Linked DNA regions of Anolis sagrei. The protein of the gene in region 2 purifies or fractionates together with the protein of the main gene of each other region. This does not show direct contact. Links are inferred from orthologs where the notes say so. Each region holds a gene or a part of one and is shown on either strand. Other genes may lie near its edges.

Region 1 (8,084 bases), on a different chromosome or scaffold from region 2:
ACTATATGGCAGATAATAATAATAATCATCATCATCATCATCATCATCATCATCATCATCTATATAAATAACAATGTAATGTTTGTTTGTGGGACTAACATAACTCAAAAACCGCTGGACAAATTGCCGCCAAATTTGGACACAAGACACCTAATAACCCAAGGAGTGACCATCACTAAAAAAACTGATTTTGACATCTGGGAGTTATAGTTGCTGGGATTTATAGTTCACCTACAATCAAAGAGCATTCTGAACTCCACCAATGATGGAATTGAACCAAACGTGGCACACAGGACTCCCATGACCAACAGAAAATACTACAAGGGTTTGGTGGGCATTGACCTTGAGTTTGGGAGTTGTAGTTCACCTACATCCAGAGAGCACTGTGGAGTCAAACAGTGATGGATCTGGACCAAACTTGGCACAAATTCTCCATATGCCCAAATGTGAACACAGATGGAGTTAGGGGAAAATAGACCTTGACATTTGGGAGTTGTAGTTACTGGGATTTATAGTTCACCTACAATCAAAGAGTATTCTGAACTCCACCAACGATAGCATTGGGCCAAACCTGGCACACAGAACCCCCGTGAACAACAGAAAATACTGTGTTTTCTGATGGTCTTTGGTGACCCCTCTGATGCCCCCTCGCAACCCTTCCAGGGGTCCTGACCCCCAGGTTGAGAAACATTGCAATAGAAAGATGTGGCAGCTAAAAAAGCCAATATGCTTCTAGGATACATCAACAGGAATATAGTGTCTAGACCGAGGAAAGTCACAGTCCCACTCTATTTCACTGTAGACAGACCTCATCCCTATAACACCCCCCTTGTGACCCCCAAATTGAGATATACTGCCTTAAGACCATCCAGTCCAACACCCTTCACCAGGACAAGAAAACATAATCAAAGCCCTCTTGACAAAGAACCATCTAGCCATAGATATAGATAGGTATATTTGATTCACACACACATACACATATATATGTATATGACAGATATAATATCATAGATTTGAAAGGGATCCCTAAAGGACAATAATATGTTCCATGTTCCAGGGTGGGCAAACCAGACACTCTCCACATCAACACTGACAAAGAAACAGCAAGTAATACTGTTTACCCACAAGCAAAAAGAAATTACATATATTAGAAATCAACACTTTCTCATTACTTTATTTTTGAGATCACCAGATTGGGCCACAGCAACACGTGGCAGGAGATGGCTAGTAATATAACAAAACTTTATTTATACTCTGCTCTGTCTCCCCAGAGGGACTCAGGGCAGATTCCAAACATAAAAGGCAAACATTCAATGCCTAAATACAACAACAATACATCCATAATAACAAAATTTATACAACCCAACATATTAATGCGAATTGTAACTTAACAAACTAAAATTAAATAAAAAGCACAGCCTGTTATAACAAACATAAGACAAAGACAATCCAGTGCAAAATAGATATTGTGGATTATCTGACTTGATAGTCTGGATTATATGGCTGTGTGGAAAGGCCCTGGAAAAGCTGTTCAACAGTGGAACTCTCTGCCTCGGAGTATAGTGGAGGCTCCTTACTTGGAAGCTTTTAAACAGAGGCTGGATGAGTTACTGTGAGTTTTCTGGGCTGTACGGCCATGTTCTGGAAACATTCTTTCCTGACATTTCACCTACATCTATGGCAGGCATCCTCAGAGGTTGTGAGGTCTAAACTAGGCAAGTGGGGTTTATAGTAAAGGTAAAGGTTTCCCCCTGACATGAAGTCCAGTGGTCTCCAACTCTGGGGTGTGGTGCTCATCTCCATTTCTAAGCTGAAGAGCCAGCGTTGTCTGTAGACACCTCCAAGGTCATGTGGCTGGCATGACTGCATGGAATGCCGTTACCTTCCCGCCGGAGTGGTACCTATTGATCTACTCACATTTGCATGTTTCCGAACTGCTAGGTTGGCAGAAGCTAGGGCTGACAGTGGAAGCTCATGTGTGGTGCTCATCTCCATTCTAAGCTGAAGAGCCAGCGTTGTCCATAGACACCTCCAAGGTCATGTGGCCGGCATGACTGCATGGAACGCTGTTACCTTCCCGCTGGAGCAGTACCTATTGATCTACTCACATTTGCATGTTTTCGAACTGCTAGGTTGGCAGAAGCCGGGGCTGACAGCGGAAGCTCACGCCGCTCCCCAGATTCGAACCTGCGACCTTTCAGTCAACAAGCTCAGCGCTTTAACCCACTGCATCTTGGGGGCTCCATATCTGTGTTTATATATCTGTGGAATATCCAGAGTGGGAGAAAGAACGCTTGTCTGTTTGAGGCAGGTGTGAATGTTGTAACTGACTACTTTTAATGGCATTGCAGCTTCAAAGCCTGGCTGGTTGCTGCTTGGTGGAATCCTTTATTGGGAGGTGTTAGCTGGCTATGATTGATTCTTGTCTGGAATTCCCCTGCTTTTGGAGTGTTGCTCTTTATTTACTGTCCTGATTTTAGAGGTTTTTTTTTTTTTTAAAGAGGCTGGATGGCCATCTGTCAGGAGTACTTTGTGCTTATCCTGCATGGCAAGGAGTTGGATTAGATGGCCCATGGGGTCTCTACCAACTATTATTATTGGAGTATTACAGTATTTTGATGGGAACGCACTACTGTGGCTTCACCTTCCAAGGAGCCAGGCACCTGGGAGGTTGGGAAGGGAGAAGAAGGGGGGGGGGGGTCCGCGTGCCCACCATCCGGGGCTTTCTTGCTTTTTTTGCCTCAAAGAAGCCAACCAGGGCGGCTTCTACTCGGTGGAGAGCGCGCGCGCTAAAGTTCCTTCTGCATTTAGAGTTCCCTAGCAAATGCCTCTTCGGAAAGGAGGGGAAAAAAAGCCTCACTCGGAACGCTTCGGAAGGGTTCGGAGAAGGGGCTCGCGCTCGGTTTTCGACCGGGCGGGGGAGGGGAGGGGAGAGTTTCTTTGCCCAGGTGAGCGGCGGCTGAGGCGAGCCTGCTCTCAGTGCTGGGGACTCACCCAGAAGACGAAGTTGAAGCCGAAGAGCAGGTACTTGATGCACTTGGTGCCCCCCTTGACGGGCATGGCGGCGACTCGAAGGCAGCGGGAGCGGCGGTGCTTCTCTGCGTGGCGAGGCGGGAGGCGCGTCTGAGCAGCCCCGGCAGGGAAAGGCGCTCCCTAGGGCCACTCCTCAGACCGGCTCGTCGCGGGCTCCACCCCGGCCCCCAGGGCCGCTCCCTGGGCTCCTCCGCCCGCCCTCGCCGGCGTCACGCCAGGCCTGCGGGCCCCGCTCTCGCCCTTCCCTCATCTCTCCCTCTCTCTCTGTTCTCTCCCCACTCTTCCCTCTCTTCTTTCTTCCTCTCCTCCTCCTCACTCTTCCCCTCTCCCCCCTTCCTTCTCTTCTTTCTTCCCTCTACACCTCCCTCTCTTCTCTCCCCCTCTCTTCTTCTCTCTCTCCTTCTTTCTGCCTCTCCCCCCCTCTCTTCTCCCCCTCTATCTCTCTGGCCCTTTATTCTCCCTCCCTCTCTTCTCTCCCCTCCCTCTCTTCTCTCTCTCCCCTCCCTCTCTCTCACTTTTCCCATCCCTCCCTCCCCTCCCTCTCCCCCTATTTTCTCTTTCTCCCTGACCCCCTCCCTCCCTCTCTCTTCTGTCTTCCCCCTCTCTTCTCTCCCCCTCCCTCTCCCCTTCTATCTCCCTCTCTCTCTTTGCCCACTCCCCCTCTCCCCCCTCTCTCCCCTTCTTTAACTCCCTCCCTCTCTTTTCCCACTCCCCCCTCTCTCCCCCCTCCCTCTCCCTTCTTCCCCTCTCTCTCTGCCCCTTTTTCTCTCCCCCTTCCTTCTCTTCTTTCTTCCCTCTACCCCCCTCTCACCCCCTCCCTCTCCCCTTTTTTCTCCATGTCTCTCTCTTCTTCCCTCTCTCTCACCCCCTCCCTCCTCTCTGGGACCTCACTCTCCCCCTCTCTTCTTCTATCTCCCCTTCCTTCTCTTCTTTCTTCCCTCTACCCCTCCCTCTCCCCTTCTTTGTCCCTTTCTCCCTCCCTCTCCCCTCCTCCCTCTCCCCCTCCTTCGCTCCCTCCTCTCTCTCGCCCCTTACTCCCTCATCTCTCTGGCCCTTTACTCTCTCCCACTCTCTTCCCTCTCCCCTCCTTTTCTCTCCCCTCCCTCCCTCTCTCTCCCTTTTCCCATCCCTCCCACTTCCCTCTCCCCTCTCTATTCTCTCTTTCTCCCTGACCCTCTCACTCCACCTCTCTTCTGTCTCTCCCCCCTCCCTCTCTTCTCTCCCCCTGCTATCTCTCTCTCTCTCTTTCCTACTCCCCCCTCTCTCTCCCCCTCCCTCTCCCCTTCTTTATCTCCCTCCCTCTCTTTTCCCATTCCCCCCTCTCTCCCCCTCCCTCTCCCTTCTTCCCTCCTCTCTGGCCCCTCACCCCCCTCTCTTTTTCTCTCTCCCTCTCTCTCTTCTTCCACTCCCCCTCCCTCCCTCCTCTCTCACTCTCCCTCTCTCTTCTTCTCCCTCCCCTTCCTTCTCTTCTTTCTTCCCTCTACCCTTCCTTCTCTCACCCCTCCCTCTCCCTTCTTTCTCCATCTCCCCCTCTCTCTTCTTCCACTCCCCTCCTCTCTCTAGCACCTCACTCTCCCCCTCTCTTCTTCTCTCTCCCCTTCCTTCTCTTCTTTCTTCCCTCTACCCCTCCCTCTCTCACCCTTCCCTCTCCCCTTCTTCTTCCCTCTCCCCTCCTCACTCTCCCCTTCCTTCCTTCCCTCCCCCTCTCTCTCACCCCTCCCTCTCTTCCTCTCTCATCTCTCTCCCCCTCCTTTTCTCTCTCCTCCCTCCCTCCCTCTGTTCTCTCTCTCTGACCCCCTCCCCCTCACTCACTCTTCTGTCTCTCCCCTTCTCCCCCTCTCTTTTTTCCTCTCTTTCCCTCTTCTTCCCTCTCTCTCTTTCCCCTCCCCTCCCACTTACACTGGGACTGTTTGCTGGGCTCCAGAAAGACTGCTTTTCCCTTTGGTCCCAGAGAAGCTTTCACCTGCTTTGAAAGTGTTATTTCTTGTTAAATTGTGCGGTACTTACTTTGAAAGTAGTTGTTATACTCCAGAAACTTCATTTTCTGTGGCTGAGGGGAGTACTATTATTTCCACCAGTCTCTAGGCCCTGAGTTTGTAATTTTCCTTAATGAAAATAATGCCGGGTTGCTGTGAGTTTTTTAGGCAGCATGTTATGTTTACTTATATCTTACCTTTTCTCTTCATATGGAGACTCAAAGTGGCTCACAATTAAAAGTATTACGATACAACTTAAAATATACAATATACAAATATGAAAATAATATTAAGCATAATTCATATTAAAACCAATTGAAGTTAAAACCATAAAAGCATATAAATCCACAGCACCCCCTGCCTTAAACACCTTCATATTTAAAAGCCTGCCTGAATAAAAAGGTTTTAGTCTGCCGCTGGAAGGAACAGAAGAGAAGGGGCCATTTTGGCTTCCCTGGGCAGGGGTTCCAGAGTTGAAGGACAGCCACTGAGAAAAAAGGCCTGCTCTCTCGTTCCCACCGACTGTGCTTGAGATGGAGGTAGGACCAAGAGAAGGGCCTCTCCTGAAGATCTCAAGGACTGGGCAGGTTCACACAAGGAGATGTGGTCAGTCAAATACCTAAACTTGGACCATCTAGGGCAGGGGTCCTCAAACTTTTTAAACCGGGGGCCAGTTTACTGTCCCTCAGACCGATGGAGGGCCGGACTATAGTTTTTTAAAAAAAATCAATTAAAAAATTCCTATGCACATTGCACATATCTTATTTTGCTGTGTGGAAGGACCCTTAGAGGGGGTTCTTTCTAGCCCTCTTTAGACAGCAATTCCAGGAGAAGAGAATGGGAAATCTTCCTATTTCCAGTCTGAACAAAATCTAAAATTATAACTGTAAATAAATAACAATACTCAAACACAGGGGAACTCCAGACAAGAAACAATCAGGGCCAGCTAATCACCTCTCAACAAAGGATTCTCCCTAAAAACTGTCAGGCTATGAAATGGCAATCAAGGTGGCCAATTGAAACATTCATACCTACCTCCAACAGACAAGAGTTCTTTCTCCCACCCTGGATCTTCCAAGATTTTCCTGGTTAAAGGTTTTCCTCTGACATGAAGTCCAGTCGTGTCTGACTCTGGGGTGTGGTGCTCATCTGGATTTCTAAGTCGAAGAGCCAGCGTTGTCTGTAGACACCTCCAAGGTCATGTGGCCAGCATGACTGCATGGAGCACCAGGGCAGCCTCCCTTGGACAGCGTGAGCCTGCCAAGGGAGGAGCAGGCCCGCGCGGCTTACTTGCGAGTAAAGCACCTCGCGAGGTGCTTTACGCGCAAGTAGACCACGCGGAGCAGCCTCCCTTGGCTGGCTCACGCTGTCCATCGGGCCTGCCAAGGGAGGAGCAGGCCCGCGCGGCTTACTTGCGAGTAAGGGAGGCTGCTCTGCGTGGTCTACTTGCGTGTAAAGCGCCTCGCGAGGTGCTTTACGCGCAAGTAGACCACGCGGAGCAGCCTCCCTTGGCTGGCTCAGGCTCCCTTGCCTGGCTCAGGCCCGATGCACAGCGCGAGCCTGCCAAGGGAGGAGCAGGCCCGCGCGGCTTACTTGCGAGTAAAGCACCTCGCGAGGTGCTTTACACGCAAGTAGACCACGCGGAGCAGCCTCCCTTGGCTGGCTCAGGCTTTCCATCAGGCCCGATGGACAACGTGAGCCTGCCAAGGGAGGCTGCTCCGCGTGGTCTACTTGCGCGTAAAGCACCTCGCGAGGTGCTTTACGCGCGAGTAGACCATGCGGAGCAGCCTCCCTTGGCTGGCTCGCGCTGTCCATCGGGCCTAACAGATAGCGTGAGCCAGCCAAAGGAGGGGCACTGTGTGGGGGGGGGGGGCGCTCCTCCTCCGCGGGCCGGATCAGGGCCCTTGGCGGGCCGGAAGTGGCCCGCGGGCCGTAGTTTGGGGACCCCTGATCTAGGGCTTTAAAGGTCATAACCAACACTTTCAATTGTGCCCGGAAACAGACTGGCAGCCAGAGAAGCTGCTGCAACAGGGGGTTGTCCACTCCCTATAGCCAGCACCAGTTAGCAATCTGGCTGCAGCTCTTTGGACCAGCTGAAGTTTCTGAGCACTTTTCAGAGGCAGCCCCATGTAGAGTGCATTGCAGTAATCCAAACGAGATGCAACAAAGGTGTGTGCCACTGTGGCCAGACCTTGCTTCCCAAGGAACAGGCGCAGTTGATGCACAAGTTCTCATTGTGCAAAGGCCCTCCTGGCCACCTCCATCACCTGGGCCTCCAGGTTCAGTGCCAAGTCCAAGAGGACCCCCAAACTGCGAACACGTACCTTCAGGAGCAGTGTGACCCCATCTAGCACAGGCTGGATCCCTATTTCTTAATCTGCTTTCTGACTGACCAGGAGCACCTCTGTCTTATTTGGATTAAGTTTCAATTTGTTTGCCATCATCCAGTCCATTACTGCACCACATCAACAGCATCCACCCAAACATCTAATTTGCCATGGAAAAAGAAAATGAAGGAAAAAAATTCTAGATATCCTAGGTAAAGGTAAAGGTTTTCCCCTGACATGAAGTCCAGTCATGTCCAACTCTGGGGTGTGGTGCTCATCTCCATTTCTAAGCCGAAGAGCCGGCATTGTCCATAGACACCTTCAAGGTCATGTGGCCAGCATGACTGCATGGGGTGCCGTTATCTTACTGCCGGAGCGGTACCTATTGATCTACTCACATTTGCATGTTTTCCAACTGCTAGGTTCGCAGAAGCTGGGGCTGATAGTGGATTTGATGCTGCTTCCCGGATTCGAACCTGCGACCTTTCGGTCAACAAGCTCAGCAGCTCAGCGCTTTAACCCACTGTGCCACTGGGGGCTCCTACACAAATCAAATCAACAATTGTGCCACACAGTTTACAGAAAACCTATGCACACTGAGATACATACATAAAAACTCCAGCCATCACCCAGGTCTAAAAAGAAGCACAATTAAAGCCCTGACAGATTGTGTAAACAAAATCTGCAAACCCCACCTTCTCCAAGGTGAACTAAACACCTAAGCTGGGTCTACAGGCCAATAGTTACT
Region 2 (7,741 bases):
TGTTTCCATTAATGTAGATATCACAGAAAGAACGATGAAGTGAAAACAACTGCTGGAGACACTGACAGAGCAACTTCCCAAAGCAAAGGATAAAATAAAACGCACTGGCAGAAACCGGGGGAGGCTTTAGTCAAAGCACTGAGCATGAACAATGAAAGCAGACGCTTTTCCAAAGCATTAAAGCACTCACACTTTCGGCTGCAAAGTTCGCAATCATTAAATAGCTTCACACCTCAACCTGGGAGAGGGCGAGAGAAGGCAACATTCCTACAAGAAGTCAGGCTAAGGATTCCTGATCCAGGGCTGCCAAGTGAGCTGGAAAAACAGACCTTGTGTGGCTCCAAGGCTGAAAAAAAATCCACACAGCTTCACTACCTCTTCAATGGCAAGGAGTTAAACTGGACTACAACGGAGGTCCCTTCTCTTCTAGGCTTGCCTTTTTCAGAGACCCGAACCTGCCTGCATAACTTTCGGAATAGCAATGCCACCCTCAACATGAGGTTAACAGGTCTCAAGTTTTGTCATAGTACAGGACAACATCTGCTATTTAGAAACACATGCAATATGTGTGGGGATCTCCCCTAACCCTTGACATAGGATATATTTGCACTATAAATTTAATGCAGTCTGAAATCAAAACAACTCAGACCCTGAATTCTTCAGCATTCTTCAGTTTTGGAAACAGCATGCAAAATAAAAGGCACAAAGGGAAGAACTTAAATTAGAGTATCCTCAGTCCCCATGTGTGTGTGTGTGTGTGTGGGTGGGTGTCTGTGTGTGTGTGTTATTTCTCCCAGGAACTCCATCTGAGGCTAAGGGTGCATTTACACTGTAGAATGAATGCAGTTTGACACCACTTTGAATACTGAATGCTATGGAATCATGGGACTTTCACAAGATTTTAAGCCTTCGCTGGGAAAGAGTGCTGGTACCTCACCAGACTACATAGCATTCAGTCATGGCCTTTAGTCCAAGTGATGTCAAAGTGCACTCATTCAACAATGGAGATCAGGCATGGGCCAACTTTGGCCCTCCAGGTATTCTGGACTTCAACTTCCACAATTCCTAACAGCCAGGCTAACAGCCCATGCCTGATATAGATGCAGCCTTGGCCAGTGCTATGCAAGCATGAGAAGAGTACGCTCTGCCTTTCTGGAGCCCCAAGTAACTCCTACAGTACTTCAAAACACTTAAGCTGGGAATGGATTGGGGAAACAGACCTCAGGAAGTGGGGTTGTCACCCATGGTGAGTCACTCTGGACTGTGGTTTAAGAAGCACAACTTGAATATCAAACAAAAAAGTGGGTGCTAGAAATAATATCATATGAAAGCTGACTGGCACAACCTGAGGACCACAACTAGATATAGTTAAGACATCTGCCCTTGCACTTTGCTACTTTGCTGTTGAATACACATGCGCAGCGTGAAATAATCTCATCCCTTTAAAACAGTGGGTGTGGCTCTTAATGAGACATGCTGCATGATCACAGGATGTCTACGCCCCACACCACTAGAGAAATTACACTGTTTAGCTGGTATCGCACCACCTGACATCCACTGGGAAGTAGCAGCCAGCAATGAAAGGACCAAGGCAGTGACATCTCTGGCCCATCCTCTGTTCAGATATCAACCAGCACATTAATGTCTTAAATCAAGAAACAGCTTCCTAAGAACTAAAGATATACTCGCAAGAACACCTCAGCAAGCAAGAGTCCAAAAGTGGCAGGATAAAAGCCAGCATCTCAATCAGTGGCTGAGACCGAATGAGAAACTCCCTCCTGGATACATAGAAGAGTGGAAGACCAGAAAGGAGCTAAAGGAGCTGTGGACATCAGACTGGCGCCCTCCCTCATGACATTCCACAAGGGACTAAAGACGTGGTTGTTTGAGAAGGCGTTTGAGTAAGTGCGGCAACAATTGGCAATGACGACTGGAACGGAACATGGATAACGAGATTTGGATTGTGATTCAATGATGAGACGTTGCGAATGATTTAGTATAACTGTATTATTGATAGTGTTGTTGTTTACTGTTGATGTGATATTGCTTATGTTGTAAATTGTACCTGGTTTTATATGTTGTACACCGCCATGAGTCGCCCTAGGGCTGAGAACGGCAGTCTATAAGTGCAGTAATAAATAAATAAATAAATAATAGACTGCACTCTGGCACCACGAGATGCAGAGCCAACCTTAAGAAATGGGGCCACAAAGTGGAGTGCACAACATTCAAGTGTGTAGAAGAGCAAACCACAGACCACCTATTACAATGCAGTCTGAGTCCTGCCACATGCACAATGGAGGACCTCCTTAGAGCAACCCCAGAGGCACTCCAAGTGGCCAGCTACTGGTCAAAGGGCATTTAGCATAATGCCTAGCTTTCAATTTTGTTTGTGTTTCTAAATACATTACAACTGTACCCTCAACTCACTTCTGACACGAAAGATATATAAATAAATACCAATGTTTTCAAAATGAAAGGCTGAGGAGCAGGCTTCCAAGAAGAACATAGCTTGCAGGAAGGAAAGAAGGAAGGAAGGAAGGAAGGAAGAAGGGAAGGGAAGGGAGGAGGGAGGGAAGGAAGGAAAGAATGAAAGAAGGAAGGAAGGATGGAAAGAAAGAAAGGAGGGAGGAAAGAAAGAAAGAATGGAAGGAAGGAAAGAGGGCAAGAAGGAAGGAAGGAAGGAAAGAAAGAAAAAGGAGGAAAGGGTTTAAGGAAGGAAAGAAAGGAGGAAGGAAGGAAGGAAAGAAGGAAGGAAGGAAGGAAAGAAGGAAAGGCACCTCTTCCTAACTTCGTGGTGTTTCTTTTTCCTTCGCCTCGGTCCTCCAAGTGGGGTCAGAGCCCAAGCCCGAAAGCCCACCCACCCAGAGACCTCTCCAGGCAAAGACTCACCAAAGAGTAAGAGGAAGAGCAGCAGAATGGGCGCGCTCTCCCCCCGGAGCCCCATCCCGCCGCCGCCGTCGCTGCCTCCTCTTCCTCCTCCTCCAGACTGAGCGGCGGGGGGAAGATCCAGCGAGGGTCGGCGGGGCAGCAGCGGCGCTGCCTGGCTCCGAGCGAAGGCGGGGCCGCCACGCCAAAGCCAGCAGCAGCAGCAGCGCCAGGAAGACCAGCAAAGCCTCCCTCCGCCTGCCTGATGCTGTTGCTGCTTCTGCCGCTGCCTGGTCCTGAGCGCCGGGAGGAAGGGAACCGCCCCCCTCTTCAGCAGCCAGCCAACCACAGAGGGCGAATTCCCCTTCGCCCCGCCCCCAGACCCCTCCCATAGGTGCCCAGGAGAGGGCGGCCCCTTAAAGGGCAGGACGGAGGGGAAGACTCGCAAGGAGGGCAGAGGGGCTCCCAACTCGAGCCTGGGAGGGAAAGGGAGACTTCCTCGCTCTCTCTCTCCCTCCTCCGCACAGAAAGGACCGGGGAGGAAAGCTATCGGGCGGGGAAGGAAAGCGCGGGAAGCGTCGAAAGCTGGGCAGCCAAGTCCCGCTCGCGTGCCTCGCCTCCCTTGTTTGAGCGCTTCAGGCGCCAGAGGTTTCTAAGGAGGGCGAAATTAGTCCAGTTTGACGCCCTCTCTTGTTCGAATGCCTCGGGCGCCAGAGGTTTCTAAGGAGTCTTACCAGGCATGTAGCGGGGGGGAAGAGCTTGAGGGGCTTCAGCCCCCCCCCCCCCGAAATTCTCATGGTGGTCCGCGAAAAGGCCTTACTGGTGTATTATTTAAACTGTTATGTTTATTCATATCATGATCTGATCACCATGCTCAATATATCCCATATTCATGGGGTCAGGCCCGTAGCCAGGATTTCGTTTCGGGGGGGGGGGGGGGCTAAAAAAAATCAGGGGGGGGGGGTTCGGGGGGGGTAGCTGAGTTTCGGGGGGGGGGGGCTGAGTCTGAGTGAAAGAGGGTCTAGCCTAGCAAACCTTTTGTATCGTTACCCCAATACCCCCATGCATATGGGATATATTGAGTATGGTGATCAGATCATGATATGAATAAACATAACAGTTTAAATAATGCACCAGGAAGGCCTTTTCGCGAACCACCATGAGAATTTCGGGGGGGGGGGCTGAAGCCCCCCGAGCCCCCCCCCCCCCCCCCCGCTACATGCCTGCATGGGGCTATTGGGGTAACGATACAAAAGGTTTGCTAGGGCAGACCCTCTTTCACTCAGACTCAGCCCCCCCCCCCCCCCCGAATCGAAATCCTGGCTACGGGCCTGCGTCTTACACATTCATACAGCCTGGCACCGCTTTCATTGTCACACCGTGCCGGGACTCAGTGCTATAGAATCAGGAGAGGTGTCGTTTGACAAGGGCTTTCTCTGCCTCACCCAACTACAACTCCAGAATCATAGAGCTGGAAGAGACCTCGTGGGCCATCTAGTCCAACCCCCTTTCAAGAAGCGGGAAAATCTCATTCAAAGCACCCCAGACAGATGGCCATCCAGCCTCTGCTTAAAAGCAGAGGCAAAGGAGCCTCCACCACACTCCGGGGCAGAGAGTTCCACTGCTGAACGGCTCCCACAGTCAGGAAGTTCTTCCTGATGCTCAGGTGGAATCTCCTTTCAGTGACACTTGAAATGCATTCAGACTTGGTGGGTGCGCCCCAAGTTGCTTTCAGGGCAGCCAGTCCCATTTCGCTCCCCAAAAGGGATGTTTGTAGCTTCTTCCCTCGTGTCAGGCTTCTCTCTCCAACCCTCCCACCGCCTGCCCAGCCTCCAACTGTCAACCTCTGGGAAGGAAGCCCTGCCAGATAGGCATGTAGCTGAAGCCCCCCAAGCCCCCCCCCCCCCCGAAATTCTCAGGGTGGTCCGCGAGAAGGCCTTACTGGTGCATTATTTAAACTGTTATGTTTATTCATATCATGATCTGATCACCATGCTCAATATATCTCATATGCAAGGGGGGTATTGGGGCAACGATACATAAGGTAGACCCTCTTTCACTCAGACTTAGCCCCCCCCCCCCAATCAAACTCAGCTCCCCCCAAAACAAAATCCTGGCTACGAGCCTGCTGCCAGAGCAAGTGGCAGCGGAGGGAGTTCCCGCTCCTCGTGACCAGACTGGGACCGCCTTTCTTCTCGCTGCCGCTGCATCTGGCGTTGTTTTTGGGAAAAGCTGAGGAGGCTCACCAACCCCATTTGTTGGGAAACTGACAATCTTGCGTGCACACTGAAATGGTTCTCTTGTCTCCATGTTTCTGGCTTACCTCACTTCCTTCCCTGTCAGTTTTATGATACCCCCAATTAGCATTGCGTGGGCTTCGGGGACTTTCTCGAAAGTGGCCACGCTGAATGTCACTTATTTATTTGCAGCTGTGGACAAGTCTACATAGGGACCACCAAACGCAGCATTGCCCAAACACCAATCAAGGAACATGAAAGGCACTGCTGACTACTTCAACCAGAGAAGTCAGCCATAGCAGAGCACCTGATGAACCAGCCTGGACACAGCATATTATTTGAGAACACAGAAATGCGGGACCACACCAACAACCACCATGTCAGACTACACAGAGAAGCCATTGAAATCCACAAGCATGTGGACAATTTCAACAGAAAGGAGGAAACCATGAAAATGAACAAAATCTGGCTACCAGTATTAAAAAACTCTAAAATTGCAACAGCACAACAACAGAGAGGAAGCAGGCAGGGACATCTAATTACCTCTCAACAAAAGTTTGCCCCAGGCGCAGTCAGGCCATTGTATGCTAATCAAGGTGGTCAGTTGAAACATTCACATCTAGCTCCAGCAGAGAAGAGTCCTTTGTCTCACCCTGGTCATTCCACAGATATATAAACCCTTTTACCCAGTTCCAACAGACCTCACTACCTCTGAGGATGCTTGCCAAAGTGCAGGCGAAACGTCAGGAGAGAATGCCTCTAGACCATGGCCATACAGCCCGAAAAAACCTACAACAACCCAGTGATTCTGGCCATGAAAGCCTTCGACAATACTTATTTATTTATTTATTATTTACTGAGGCAGTTCTTTGAAGTCAAAAAATGAGAGGTGCTTCTTTGTCTGAAAAAGATGTTCGGGTCCACTCAGAAGAAGACTGACCATCGTCCCTTCAAGTGCTATAGCTTGCATGTGTGTGGCCTGATCCTTTGTTAAGCCTATGCACAAGCTAGAGATATCTAGGGTAAAGGTAAAGATTTCCCCCTGACATTAAGTCTAGCCGTGTCCGATTCTGGGGGTTGGTGTTCATCTCCATTTCTAAGCAGAAGAGCTGACGTTGTCCATAGACATCTCCAAGGTCATGTGGCCAGCATGACTGCATGGTGTGCTGTTACCCTCCTGCCGGAGCGGTACCTATTGATCTACTCACATTTGCATATTTTCGAACTGCTAGGTTGGCAGAAGCTGGGGCTAACAGCAGGAGCTCATGCCGCTCCCCAGATTCGAACTTGTGACCTTTCGGTAAGCAAGTTCAGCAGCTCAGCGCTTTAATTCACTATGCCACCAGAGGCGAAATCTATCCTTGCACTATCTAGCTGTGGATTATACCTTTTTTAATTATCTACAATGAAATTATGCTGTACCTGTGTGATCCCTTTTGCACAAGTTTCGTGGGTAATCTCTTAAAGTTACATCAAGCAATTGATGGTGGAGTCTTTGTTTTCTGGCATACTGAATGTGTATTCCTTTGCAAGCTAAAAGGCAGTGCTGTGATCAATCATTAAGTAAGCTTTAACTCTGCCTACTTTGTTTTTAAATTACCAAGCTATCCCATATCTCTGCTAAACCGTAGTGCGTTTTTACTCTGCCAGTGTTGTGCTTTTAAATGAAGGCTATGCTGGGTTGTTGTAGGTTTTTTTGGGTTGTATGGCCATATTCTAGAAGCATTCTCTCCTGACGTTTTTCCTGCATCTATGGCAAGCATCCTCAGAGGTTGTGAGGTTTGATGGAAACTGGAAAATTGGGTTTATATATCTGTGGAAAGTCCAGGGTGGGAGAAAGAACTCTTGTCTGTTGGAGATAGGTGTGAATGTTTCAATTGGCTATCCTGATTAACATTTGATGGCCTAAAAGTTTTTAGGTGTGGCTTGTTACTGCCTGGGAGAATCTTTTGTTGAGAGGTGACCAGGTGTTCCTGATTGTTTCCTGGATGGAGTTCCTCTGTGTTTGAGTTTTGTTCTTTATTTACTGTGATACTTTTTAGAGATTTTTTAGTACTGGTAGCCAGATTTTGTTCATTTTCATGGTTTCTTCCTTTCTGTTGAAATTGTCCACATGCTTGTGGATTTCAATGGCTTCTCTGTGTAGCCTGACATGGTGGTTGTTAGAGTGGTCCAGCATTTCTGTGTTCTCAAATAATATGCTGTGTCCAGGTTGGTTCAGCAGGTGCTCTGCTATGACAGACTTCTCTGGTTGAAGTAGTCTGCAGTGCCTTTCATGTTCCTTGATTCATGTTTGGGTGACACTGCATTTGGTGGTCCCTATGTAGACTTGTCCACAGCTGCATGGTATATGGTAGACTCCTGCAGAGGTGAGAGGATCCCTCTTGTAGATAGTTTGCATGTTGTGTTTCCTCATCAGCTTCCCTATGGAATCAGTGGTTCCCTTGATATATGGCAAGAACACTTTTCCTCTGAGTGGATCTTCGTCTTTACTCTCGTGGCTTGTTCTCGGTCTTGCAGCTTTTCTGATGTCTGAGGTGGAGTATCCATTGGCCTGCAGAGCCCAGTTTAGGTGGTTCAGTTTCTCTTGGAGGAGGTGGGATTTGCAGATTCTTTTTGCACGGTCTGCCAAGGCT

Evidence for each region. Proteins that work in one complex are often made in the same cells at the same time.
Region 1: the proteins of PTGFRN (region 2) and CD9 purify together in Homo sapiens (co-immunoprecipitation; 8 studies listed by BioGRID and IntAct, with this or other methods). This does not show direct contact. The link is inferred for Anolis sagrei from reciprocal best matches to the Homo sapiens genes PTGFRN and CD9.

Annotation. Positions count from the first base shown.
Region 1 is NC_090025.1:103,253,144-103,261,227, forward strand, and holds the start of CD9 (CD9 antigen), read right to left. Parts: upstream 3,184-8,084; 5' UTR 3,061-3,183; coding exon 2,995-3,060; intron 1-2,994. UniProt on the Homo sapiens protein: Integral membrane protein associated with integrins, which regulates different processes, such as sperm-egg fusion, platelet activation and aggregation, and cell adhesion.
Region 2 is NC_090023.1:52,387,272-52,395,012, reverse strand, and holds the start of PTGFRN (prostaglandin F2 receptor negative regulator), read right to left. Parts: upstream 3,234-7,741; 5' UTR 2,948-3,233; coding exon 2,893-2,947; intron 1-2,892. UniProt on the Homo sapiens protein: Inhibits the binding of prostaglandin F2-alpha (PGF2-alpha) to its specific FP receptor, by decreasing the receptor number rather than the affinity constant. Functional coupling with the prostaglandin F2-alpha receptor seems to occur.